Linked DNA regions of Sus scrofa. The protein of the gene in region 2 purifies or fractionates together with the protein of the main gene of each other region. This does not show direct contact. Links are inferred from orthologs where the notes say so. Each region holds a gene or a part of one and is shown on either strand. Other genes may lie near its edges.

What was found.
Region 1: the proteins of ZNF219 (region 2) and CDK2AP1 purify together in Homo sapiens (affinity purification with mass spectrometry; 3 studies listed by BioGRID and IntAct, counting the BioPlex papers as one, with this or other methods). This does not show direct contact. The link is inferred for Sus scrofa from reciprocal best matches to the Homo sapiens genes ZNF219 and CDK2AP1.

What each region holds. Positions count from the first base shown.
Region 1 is NC_010456.5:29,636,182-29,642,272, reverse strand, and holds the end of CDK2AP1 (cyclin-dependent kinase 2-associated protein 1), read right to left. Parts: intron 4,417-6,091; coding exon 4,290-4,416; intron 814-4,289; coding exon 746-813; 3' UTR 16-745; downstream 1-15. UniProt on the Homo sapiens protein: Inhibitor of cyclin-dependent kinase CDK2. Also acts as a component of the histone deacetylase NuRD complex which participates in the remodeling of chromatin.
Region 2 is NC_010449.5:78,037,093-78,042,399, reverse strand, and holds part of ZNF219 (zinc finger protein 219), read right to left. Parts: intron 2,488-5,307; 5' UTR 2,402-2,487; coding exon 2,396-2,401; intron 2,113-2,395; coding exon 705-2,112; intron 397-704; coding exon 265-396; intron 1-264. UniProt on the Homo sapiens protein: Transcriptional regulator. Recognizes and binds 2 copies of the core DNA sequence motif 5'-GGGGG-3'. Binds to the HMGN1 promoter and may repress HMGN1 expression. Regulates SNCA expression in primary cortical neurons.

The DNA.
Region 1 (6,091 bases), on a different chromosome or scaffold from region 2:
CATCTTAATACAAGCTGTTAATGAAAATAAGCTTTATTACATCAAGTAATAAATACAAAGATGCAAACAGTTTCATTTTCTTCCAGATGTTTGGATCAACTTCCAGGAAAGGCAGAACTGAAATCTACAGTACAGTCTTAGGAATAATTTCGGGGGTCCCTGTTAGGTTTGGTTTGGGAGGCTGCTCTTTCTTCTGTATTTATAACTTGTGCATTTTAAAAACTGACTTCAAAGCACCTAGGAGTCATGCAAATGTTTAAGCAAAAAAGAAGTTACAATAAGCAGAATCTACACTGTATGGCAAACAAGGGGACCAGCTACTAGGTTAAGTGTGTGCTGTCAGTCCACACTACAAAAAAAAACCGTTCAAGTTGTATCAGTTTACAAAAAGAACAGAGAACAATCTTGGTAACATAACTTCAAAAGAGGAGAGCCAGACACCTGTATCTTGGGGGCAACTAGTTTGCTTTAAGATAGGTAACTTTTACGTGCATCTTTTGAATCAATGCTTTAAAAAACAAACACCTGGGTAGTTCCTATTTAAAATGTAAATCCTAATCAACTGCAAAATCTTTTCTCAAATCTTAGAGACTATAGGTTCAGAGCCTAATGAACCATGGGAGGGACAGTAGGAAGGAGAAACCAGATTGTTACCATGTTGAAAACAAAGTTTCATCTGAGCAAGGGAGATGAACTGTAACTTCTCTGGGAAGAAGATGGGAAACCTTCCAGGCTCACAAAGCAGCTAGGACCTGGCGTTCCGTTCAGTTTCAGCCAAGCACTCCCTCACCAAGCCTCTAGCGTGGATGATGCCTGGAAGAGAAGCAGAGGCGGGCATTAGCAGTGGCACCCACTGCGGAAGGGGGAGGGTCCTTTCACAGCCAGCCATGAAGCCCTCAGACCAGAGGAAAACCTGCGTCCAATGACTCAAGTACTAGAGCCATTAAAGGCTCTAAGGGGACTTCCCTGGTGGCTCAGTGGGTTAAAGATCCCATGTTGTTGGAGTTCCCATTGTGGTTCAGCGGGTTACAAACCCAACTAGTATCCACTGGACGCAGGTTCAATCCCTGGCCTCACTCAGTGGGTTAAGGATCCGGCGTTGCCATGAGCTGTGGTGTAGCTTGCAGACATGGCTCAGATCTGGTGTGGCTGTGGTGTAGGCCAGCAGCTATAGCTCCAGTTCAACCCCTCACCTGGGAGCCACCATATGCCTCAGGTGTGGCCCTAAAAAGACAAAAAAAAAAAAAAAATCTGGTGTTGTCACTGCTGCGGCTCGGGTTGCTGCTGTGGTTTGGTGCAGATTTGACTGCTGGCCCAGGAAATTTCCGCATGCCATGGACATGGCCAAAACAAACAAACAAAAGACTTTAAATAATAAATAAATAAAAGGCTCTAACAAATCCCACCCCACCCCTCAAAGCCAAAACTCCTCTTTTAAAAATCTCATTCTGTGCTCAAGGTGACAACCAGGAAGCTCTTTTCATTACTCCCTATTCAAACTATGTTACCATCCAGATGACAAGAGTAAGTGTGTCTCCACCCCAGTTCTTTAAGCCAAACCCTCTGGAGATTCCATGCCCTCAAATCATTATTTTTTCTAAAGTCTAGAAAGGACCTGGCAGTGTCACAGCCTGCCTGGTTCAGGTACAAGAGAACTACTCACTTGGTCCACTGCTTCGTCCTTCCCCAGGGGACCTGCAGCATCTATTCCACTATTATTCGCCCATCATCTTTTATCTCTATGGTTTGGGAGTTATCTATTGTTTGCTTGGGTTTCTTTGGGAGGGGGAGGGCAGGCTTTACTCAACTTCATGAAACATTGATCTCATTTTAATAGGCACAAGAGAATCTATTCCTTTTTTTTTTTTCCAGACTAAAAAAAAAAAAAATCCCTTTATTTTAGTCATTTTGAGCAGCTACAACAGAGTACCATAGTCTGGGTGGCTTAAACAACAAACATTTATTTCTCACAGTTCTGTAGGCTGGGAAATCCAAGATCAGAGAACCTATTCCTTCTAAGAGCTGACCCCCAGAGGGCAATGGAAGTGAGTGACTCCTCAAATCACTCAGGTGTCCCCACCTTACAAATCTTATCCCCCAGAGCTTCTGAGCTTTGAGACCTTCTGTAAAGGGCTATACAAACAGACTCCCAGACAGAGGACAGACTTGTGGTTGCTAAGGGGGAAGGCAGAGGGAGGGAGTGGGATGGAGGGGGAATTGGGGGTTAGTAGATGCAAACTATTCCATTTAGAATGGATAAGCAAGGAGGTCCTGCTGTACAGCACAGGGAACTATATCCAGCCTCTTGGGATAGACCATGAAGGAAAATAATATAAGAAAAGGAATGCATATATATGTATGACTGGGTCACTTTGCTGTATAGCAGAAATTGGCACAACACTGTAAATCAACTATATTTTAATTTAAAGGGGGGGCTGTATAGCCACTGTCACAGCTACTCCACTCTACCGTGACAACAGCAGCAGACATTATGTAAGCAATGGGTGTGGCTACGTTCCAACAATACTTAGAGACACTAAAGTCTGAATATCACATCATTTTTACATGTCACAACATCTTTCTTTTCTTCACCATTAAAAACCACAAAAAACAGTCTTGGCTCCTCTTGGTGCCTGACTCCCTCTTGCCCTATGACCCTTTTTACTTGCTATGACATAAACTTGGCAAGCCTGCTCAGCTTCTGGTCAGGGTGACTGTGGGACCAGCTGCTTCCCCAGGATGTGCCCTAGCTGCCCTGGCGCAATCACTAGGTGTATCCAGGCATGGACTTGAACTGCTGGCTTTGTTGGGTGGCTGCAGATCACCTGTCAGACAGTCTCTGGGGTCCAGCATCTTCCCAGGCATCTCCAATCTGGTAACCAACACCCCAGTTACCAGGACTGGGTGGCATGATGCCCACCTGACCCCCAGGGTTGGATTGGAGGTAAGCTCCCTCCCTCCTCCACGCACTCTTCGTTCCAGCCTCTAACTACCAGTCCCCCTCCCCACACCTGTGCTCTTATTACCCAACCCAGTTCCAAAACAGGTTAGTCTCTTCACAAAGGAGTCATGAACTGGGTAAAGGCCACTGCTTTGGGTAGGGGCCTGACCTCAATCAGCCTTGCCCATCACTGAAGTCACGGCTGCAACTGCAGCACCCCGTACACCCCAGATTTATAACTAAGAAATGTTTCCCTTTCCTATTTCTCCAAAGTTACTTCTCTGACCTTCAGAAAAACAAACAAAAAAACCCGAATCCCTCCTGAAATTAAATTCACACATAAGCCACCACATTCTGAACCACCACCTTCTAAAATAGAAATCCTTTTCTCCCCTCCACTCCCAACCAACCTATTTCACTGCCTGCTGAAGTCAGCTGGCCAGTCACATCTTCACGTGCAATACCTTCTTCCTGTGGTACCATCCTCCAGTGCCCTCCCTCTCTAATCAAGAAATAACTTCAGGAGTTCCTGTCGCTGCTCAGTGGTTAATGAATCCGACTAGGAACCATGGGGTTTCAGGTTCGATCCCTGGCCTCACTCAGTGGGTTAAGGATCTGGCGTTGCCATGAGCTGTGGTGTAGGTCGCAGACGCGGCTCGGATCCTGCGTTGCTGCGGCTCTGGCGTAGGCTGGCGGCTACAGCTCTGATTAGACCCCTAGCTTGGGAATCTCCATATGCCGAGGGAGCGGCCCTAGAAATGGCAAAAAAAACAACAAAAAGAAAAAGAAAAGAAATAACTTCAAAGCCTACTTGCTTTCCCTCCCCAGACTAGCACAGACCACAGCCTCCTGGGGCACTGCTCCAAAAGAGGACAGCAGAGGACCCTGCAGCCCCCAGTCACTGGCCTTGCCCAGAGGAGAAGCCTGTTGTACTGGGTGGCTTGGGGTTCCCTGGGGCCAGCTATGGCCAAAGGGAGCAGAGCAGGCCTGGGGCAGAGCTGTACCATCTGGGTCTAGACTCCCTTCTAAGACAGATGGACCCACCCTTACCCCAGGGAAGCATGCAGGGCGAGGGCTTCCCTTCTTAGACACCCCATCTGACAACTGGCCACCAAGACCCTTCCTGTCAGATCCTCAGGACAGTCTACACTCCACAGACCCAGTCATGCTGCCTGATGCCTCCACATCCAAGGGTAATTCTGTAACAGGGCAGGAACCCCTGTGTCCTGTGCTGCGGGGTACTCTCCTGTCCATCATCCTCCATTTTCAAGAGAGAAAATCTTTCAAGACAGTTACTAGGCCAGAAGCAAAGTGTCACCTGACAGTGGAGTCCAGGCCCATGACCTACCTCGTTTTAGTCTCTCCATTGCGCTCTTGCTGCCTGCATAGGTGGGTCTGATCTCTTTCCCCAGCTCTTCGATGATGGCCAGCAGCTCAGCGTATTTGCTCTGGGGCACCTGGCTGTTACCGGTTCCCTAGAATCAGAAAGAAAGGGTTCAGGGAGTTCCCATTGTGTCTCAGTGGGATACAAACCCAACTAGAATTCATGAGGATGCATGTTCAATTCCTGGCCTCGCTCAGTGGGTTAAGGACCTGGCATTGCCATGGCTGTGGCGTAGGCCAGCAGCTGCAGCTCTGATTCAACCTCTAGCCCAGGAACTTCCATATACCACAGGTGCAGCCCTAAAAGAGGAAAAAAAAAAAAAAAAAAAAAAGTAGTTCAGATAGATTGAGCCCAACCTGACCCCAATGCCATGGTCAAGGCCCCACCACGTGCCAGTCTCGCAAGGGCAGGGGCAGATGGTGGAGGGAAAGTGGCCTGGCCTAAACTCTCAAGGTTCCTGCCTCTGCTAGAGCCAGGTTCGTCCTCTCTGGGGGACAATTACAGACCAGGAGCCGGCACTCCCTACAGTCCCTATGCACTCAGAGAAACCACCCAGCAGTCTACAGAAAGCTGTTATCATCTTAAATGAAAAAAGAAGAAAAAAAAAAAAAAAAAAAAAAAAAGACTGGCTTGTCAACAGGAAAGGGTTCACTGGGAATTTCCTAGGAAGGAGCAGGATGGACGGGCTTGAGGGACGGAGTGAGTGGACGAGATGGAGGCCACACCTGGTTTGGCAGGACTATAAAAACCACCAGAGCCCCAGATATGTTTAATTCATCCATCTTCCCCTACTGGCAGGGCCCACGGCACAGAACTTTCTCTCCAGACCCCTAGCAGCCTGAGGAAACACCCAGATCAATGAGACCAGGTTCCTGCCTGGCTGTGGGCGGAGATTGCCAGTTCGGGCCTCACCCCAACCCTCCCTCTCCCGTCCCCCTCCCCACAGCTGCATCAGAGCAGCTGTGTCCTGACCGGGAGACCCTCGCCTGCTCCTCCCTCCTCTGCTGCCTGTTTCTTGGCTTCCCAATCCTTCCTCCTCTCCTTGTCCTGTTCCTCAGCATCCTCCAGGAGCCTCCTCCGGAATCCGTGGCCCTTCCTCTCCTCTGGCCGCTGCCTCACAGCCAGGGCACTGTGGGGCCTATCCAGGCCACACTTGACACCGTCCTCCCACCACCGCCTCTTCAAAGGGGTCCGCGCCCACTTCCCCTTGGGGGCTAGGACAGCCTGGCGGGGCATGGCCAAGAGCCGCCACCTTATCCCAGAGGCTGGCCTCCATGGCGACCTCGGAACATGAGTTCCAGCCACTACAGGGGAGAACCTCACAGCTGGCAGCCCAGGCACCGAGGGCCCTTGGGGCACCACTTCCTTGGCTTTCTCCACTGATGGCCCCCAAACCCAGTGGGAAGACCAAGTCTCGGCAAGGTTGCCAAGTAGGGGTCATGGTCCTGTAACTGGTGGAACCAGGTGTGAAACTCAGGGGCCCCCAGCTCTCTATGAAACCCACCCGGACTCCACTAGGACATGAGCCCCCACCTCTCTGACGGGGCCACAACCTTGTGGGGAATGAGTGGGAATGGGCACCCCCTGACACCAGCCTCTATCCAAGCTCAGAGCAAGAGTTGAGGCCATACCTCACTTCCCTAGGAACAAAGCATGAAAACCCCCAGGGACATATGTGGGCTGGTGGTCCCAACAGGACTGTGGCTCTTGGAGTTTCCAGCCTCCCACATGCAGCATGTGGAAGTTCCCAGGCCAGGGATTGAACC
Region 2 (5,307 bases):
AAAGAGGGGGGGCGGAGGCGGTGGGTGACAGGGCCAGAGAGGATCACTGCCCGCCCCAACTCGCATTTCCCTTCATGTTCAGACCTCTGGACCAGGAAAAAAAACCAAAAAAACAAAACAAAACACTGCTTCTCTCATCCCCTCTGATTTAATAAAAATCTAAAGGCTGTCGAACGTTATCTCCCAACGTTCCCAGGAGGCCTCTCACCACCCCCTTCTTCCTGCCCTCCAGTCCCCTCCCCACCTCAGAGGCTGCCCCCTCACCTGTGTGCACTCGCAGGTGCACTTTGAGGTGATGCGCTGAGCGGAAGGATTTCCCGCAGAACGGGCAATCCTTGCCGGTGGCCCCTCGGCCTCCTTCAGGCCGGGTCCCTCCAACTAACAGCCCATTCTCTTCTGCAATACACACATAAGGGAAATCAAAGGGACTTTGCTCTAACCGTATCTGGGTCATGTGCCCCTACATCCACTCCACAGGACCGCTTCCCCTCCGCGCCCAGGGGGACACAGTATGTTAGCAGGAACCTGAAGGGTTGGATTTGTTGGGAGTTGAGCTGTACCCTCAAAAGGAGATAAAACTGGGAGGGGGGAATGACGGGAGAAATAAAAGGTCCTTTCTTAAAAGGGGGGACAAAAGAGCGGTGGTGGCATAGGAGTGGGCCCAGGATGCAGAAAACCTTGGAGAGAGGAGGCCCCTTACTTACCCTGCGTGGTCGTGGACCTTGCCTGGGCCCCCGCAGCAGGCGCATTGTGCCCTGAGCCCTCACCTGGGCGCGGAGGCAGTGAGGCCAGAGGGCCCAGCGCCCTGCTCCGGGCCCAGGTCTCTTCCTCTGTCTCCACCATCTCCTCTTCCTCTTCTGGCTCCTCAGTGCGGTGCCGGCGAGCCCGGGCCGGGAGAGCAGAGGGAAGTGGGCGGAAACCTCCAAAGCTGCGGCCAGCCCCAGGCTCAGCGCCCTCACCATTTGGCCGGGCCTCACCGGCTCGCAGACTCAGGTAGCCCAGGAGGCTTGGAGGCTCGCGGCGCTCAGCCGGTGTGGGCGCTGGGGCCAAGAGGAGCGCAGGGCCCAGAGGCTCATAGGCCAGCAGGCCCAGGTCAGGAGGCTGGGGGGCCCGGGCAGGCCCAGAACCAGGCCCCGGGGCACGCAGTGGGCCCAACTTGCTGGCGTGCACCTTCATGTGGTTCTTAAGGAACCAGGGCTCCTTGAAGCAGCGGCCACACACAGGACACGCATGATCGAAGGAAGCCTTGTGCTTGCGCATGTGGCCCTTGAGAAACCAGGACTGCGTAAAGCTCTGGCCGCACACTTGACAGCGGAACTCCGGAGGCGCTGGGGGCTCCTCGGGAGCAGCAGGAGCAGGGGCGGGTGTTGCCTCACGTTCCGGCTCCGGGTCGGGCTCCGGGACGCATCTAGCTTCAGGCTGGGGTGGAGGCTGAGGCTGGGGCGCAGCCGAGGTGGCCGCCAGGGGGCGATCAGGAGCTCCGTGGGCCGTCAGGCTATGGTGCAGCAGCTCCTCCTCCTGGCTGGAGCCGAAACTGCACAGGCCGCACTTCCAGGGCCTGTGCAGTATGTGCAGGTGGCGTTCGCGCTCCGCCGCGGTGCGAAACTTGCCCTTGCAGAAGGGGCAACGGAAAGCGGACGATGAAGGAGCCTGGGGCCGCCCCAGGGCCTCAGTGGCAGGGGTGGCCTGCAGGCCCCCTGAGCTTCGGGGTCTCCCCAGCCGGGCCTCCCGCAGTAGCGCCCGCTCCTCCAACTCCAGCAACAGGCGAGCGGCGGGGCTACGCGGGCGCTCGGGCTGGTGCGTGCGCAAGTGCGAGCGCAGCAGGGCCCGCTGCGCCGCGCGGTGCCCGCAATGCGGGCACTGGAAGGCCTGGGCGCCTGGGTGCGCCCGCAGGTGCAAAGCCAGGATAGAGTTGAATCGGAAGCGCTTCCCGCATACAGGGCAGGGAAATCGCCGTTCGCCCGCGCGACTCTCAGACCAGCCCACTGCTCCCATCCCCGGAGACCCGGAGCTCACGCCTGGCCCGTTGGAATAGCGCTGCAGATCCAGTTCGCCGTCGAAGGCCGGTGGCGACGGCGCTAGGTGGCCGCCCGGGGCGCGGGGACGTGAACCCTGTGGAGAAAGATGTGAGTAGGGCAAAAAGGTGGAGAATGGAGCGCAGTGGGGGAAGCAAGGGCATGGAGAGCCAAAAGAACCCCAGGGAGGGTGGGTCGGGGCCTGAACCAGGAACACTGGGTGCCCCTCCCACTCACCTCAGGAAGTTGGGGGATGACTGGGAATTGAGCTGTTGGGGCTACAGAAATAACTTCTAATAATGGGAGGCCAGAGAGAGAGGTAGGGAGGGGAGGAAGCATAGTTGCAGGTACTTGTAGGTTCAGGCCCCTGCTTCACTCACCTCCATGGACCCCCTTCACATTCTTTGGTTCTGGGGAGTGCAGGGAAGAGGAGGAGGAAAAGCTGCTAGTGAAGGCAACAGGTGCTGAAGAGCTAAAGCAAGAGAGACAGATTTGGAGGAAAAGATGAGCCCTGATTTTCAGCAGTGGAAAGAGTCACTCCCAACCCCAGACTCTTAGCACGCTGAAACCTATCCCTTCTTCCTGACATCCTGAGACAGGAGGGGGCTGCTATCTTCAAAACTTGTGCTCTTTTATTTGCCCACAAAGCTCCCTGATAACCCAGATTTCTTCCCCCAAATTATTCCTTTTTAAATGCCTTGTCCAGAACAACCACCATCATCACCACCACCATCACAACCCACCCCCACCCCAACCCCACCGAGTTGGTGGGGGAGACCATCACAGTATACCCTTCTCTTATTTAGGTTGGGCTGTGCAGCTTGAAGAGCAAATGGGGTAGGCTTGCCAGGCTCCTCAGTTATCCAAGCGGGACCAGTTGCTCTCAGACCCCTAACTGACCAGCCAGCCAAACATTCTTCCAGACTCCACAGTTCTTCCTTCTGCCTTTACCCTGTCTTTCTGTCTTTCCCCCTCATTCTTCCTCCCTCTGCCTGGATTCCTGATCCATTCATTTCCATTCATTACAGAGACTCATTCATGCATGGGAGAGAAACACCTCCCAGCAGCAGAGTCTGGAGACAGACAGAGGGGGAGGGGCATGAAGGGGGAGAGAGCCAGAGGAAGAGGGAATGAAGAGAGAGTTGGGGGAGGAGTGGAAGTTAAGGGGCGCTGCAGGCCTTGGGAAGGGGTTAAAAACTGCAAATACCGGACAGGATTCATCCCCTTGTTTCAAACCTTGGAGCCTGCAGTTTGATGGGGCATCTCAGCCCCTTTGTCCAGGGCTGTTCCGAAGCAGGCTTTCCTCCTCTCTGCAGGGGAGAGGCTCCCTCACACAAGAGGAGGATTACACTGGCTCTGAGCTCAAGAGGCTGGAGTGAGGGACGGGGGGCGGGGCTGGGCCATCTGCACAGATAGGGGCTCAGCACATGCTCTGAGCAGGAAAGGGTTAACATTCTCCAGGCTAAAATTCCCTGGGCCTGGGATGTGCAGAGCTCCAGGTCTGAGGAAGGACAAGAGCACTGAGAGGAAAAGGACTGGGGGGGTGGGGGGGCAGATCTCCTGATTCTAAGCTGCAGAGGAGGTTAGCATTAAGACTGAGAAGCAACCCCAGAATTAAGGTTTATGGAAATAGGCCTAGGAGAATGACCAGAAGTAGTCCAGTCTACCTTTCTTGCCTACATACAGAATTGTATCTGGTCAAGGCTAGACAAATGTGGGCCTAAGCTATTTTTTTTTTTTTCCTGAGATAGAATATTTGAGATATAAAGAACTTCCTTATAATAGGCATTGTGAAACTGAAATAGGTTACTGAAAAAGAAAAGGACTCAGCATTACTTTGCTTAAGGATCTTTAATAGAAGAGAACTGAGTCAGGAGACAGCCCTGCAAAAAGAAAAGGCTCTGGAGGTCCAAGGCTTCTTTAATTTTTGACATTTCATAGATGGAGATATGTCTCCATGAAGGGGCATGGAACCTGTTACATGTGGAATCCGGGTTACGGGAATTTTATTAGCAGGAGATTAACAAAATGTCTTTGTTCGAGGGTCACTAAACAAACGCCGCCACTACTTTTAATATCTATATTTCTGCAGCTCCAAATTAGGGCATCCACTCTCATTTTCTGGATCCCCAAATAAACCCCTTGCCTGGGGCCAAGAGCTTAGCGGGGTTCACTGAGCAGTATCATGAAAGATGAATTAGGGAAGGACTGAGGGGTGCAAGACTATAATGGGCCTAGTCAGACCATCAGTAGCCCTGCAACCTTCAGTAAGTCATTTAACCTCCCACTGTACTCATCTGTAAAATAAGGGGGTTGGACTAATTTATACTGATGGTCCCTTCCAGTTTGAAACTTTTGTGGTTCTGAGTCATAGGACTCTTCTGGACCCCCGAGAGACATTAAAACAAATGGTCATTCCTTCAGTACCATGGAGAGTGCAGTGGGCTACCAGAGGAGCCACTTTGGCCACCTCAGTACCATAGATAGAGCTATGAAGTGCTAGAGGGGCCACATTTGCCATTTTAGAGCCATAGATAAGGCACTGAGAAACGTCACAGGATTTTTAAAAATTCCTATCTGAAAACCACAGCAGGAGAAAAAAGCAGAGGTACCAGAGGAATTATTTTGGCCTTTTGGATGTCACCAAAGATAGATAGATGTAATAGAAAATAGATGTAACTAGAAGAATTTTAATTAGCTATAAGGAGTGCCCTGACAGTTACAGTTTGTACATCCTGGAATGAGTTACTGAGGCATCGTATTTGGGTCCATCACATTCTGTTGCTCTCCTGGGGATTCCCGGAACATCCTGGTGTACAGCCAATCTGGTATATTCAGAGGAAGCAGATGGTGGGGGAGGAGGGGGGAGGCTGGGAATACTGCATGGTCATAGCTGACTAACCTATGGGCACATACTCTGATTCTGAGAAGATTCTAGGGCCCCGAACACTGCCTATAGGATCATAAACAAAATACCTCATGGAAGGCTGACCTCATATTGGAGTCGAGCAGAGTAGGAATTGGGCAAAGCTTTCTCCCCCCAAACAAAACCAAAACCAAAAAAGTGCTTTGCACATAGCAGTTTCCAGGATGGAAAGACAGCGACATACAAAAAGGCCCAAATTGAAGCTGAATTCCCGAGCAGGGAAAGTTTCCCCAGAGGGTAGCCTCAAATCAACAAAATGCATTGAAAGACCTTTCTGGGTCCAGTCAAAATCTCTTGAGTCATTTCCTCACTAAACCGGGTCCCAAGAATCTGATCTCTTGAGTTTTTCTCAATAGGAGAATACAC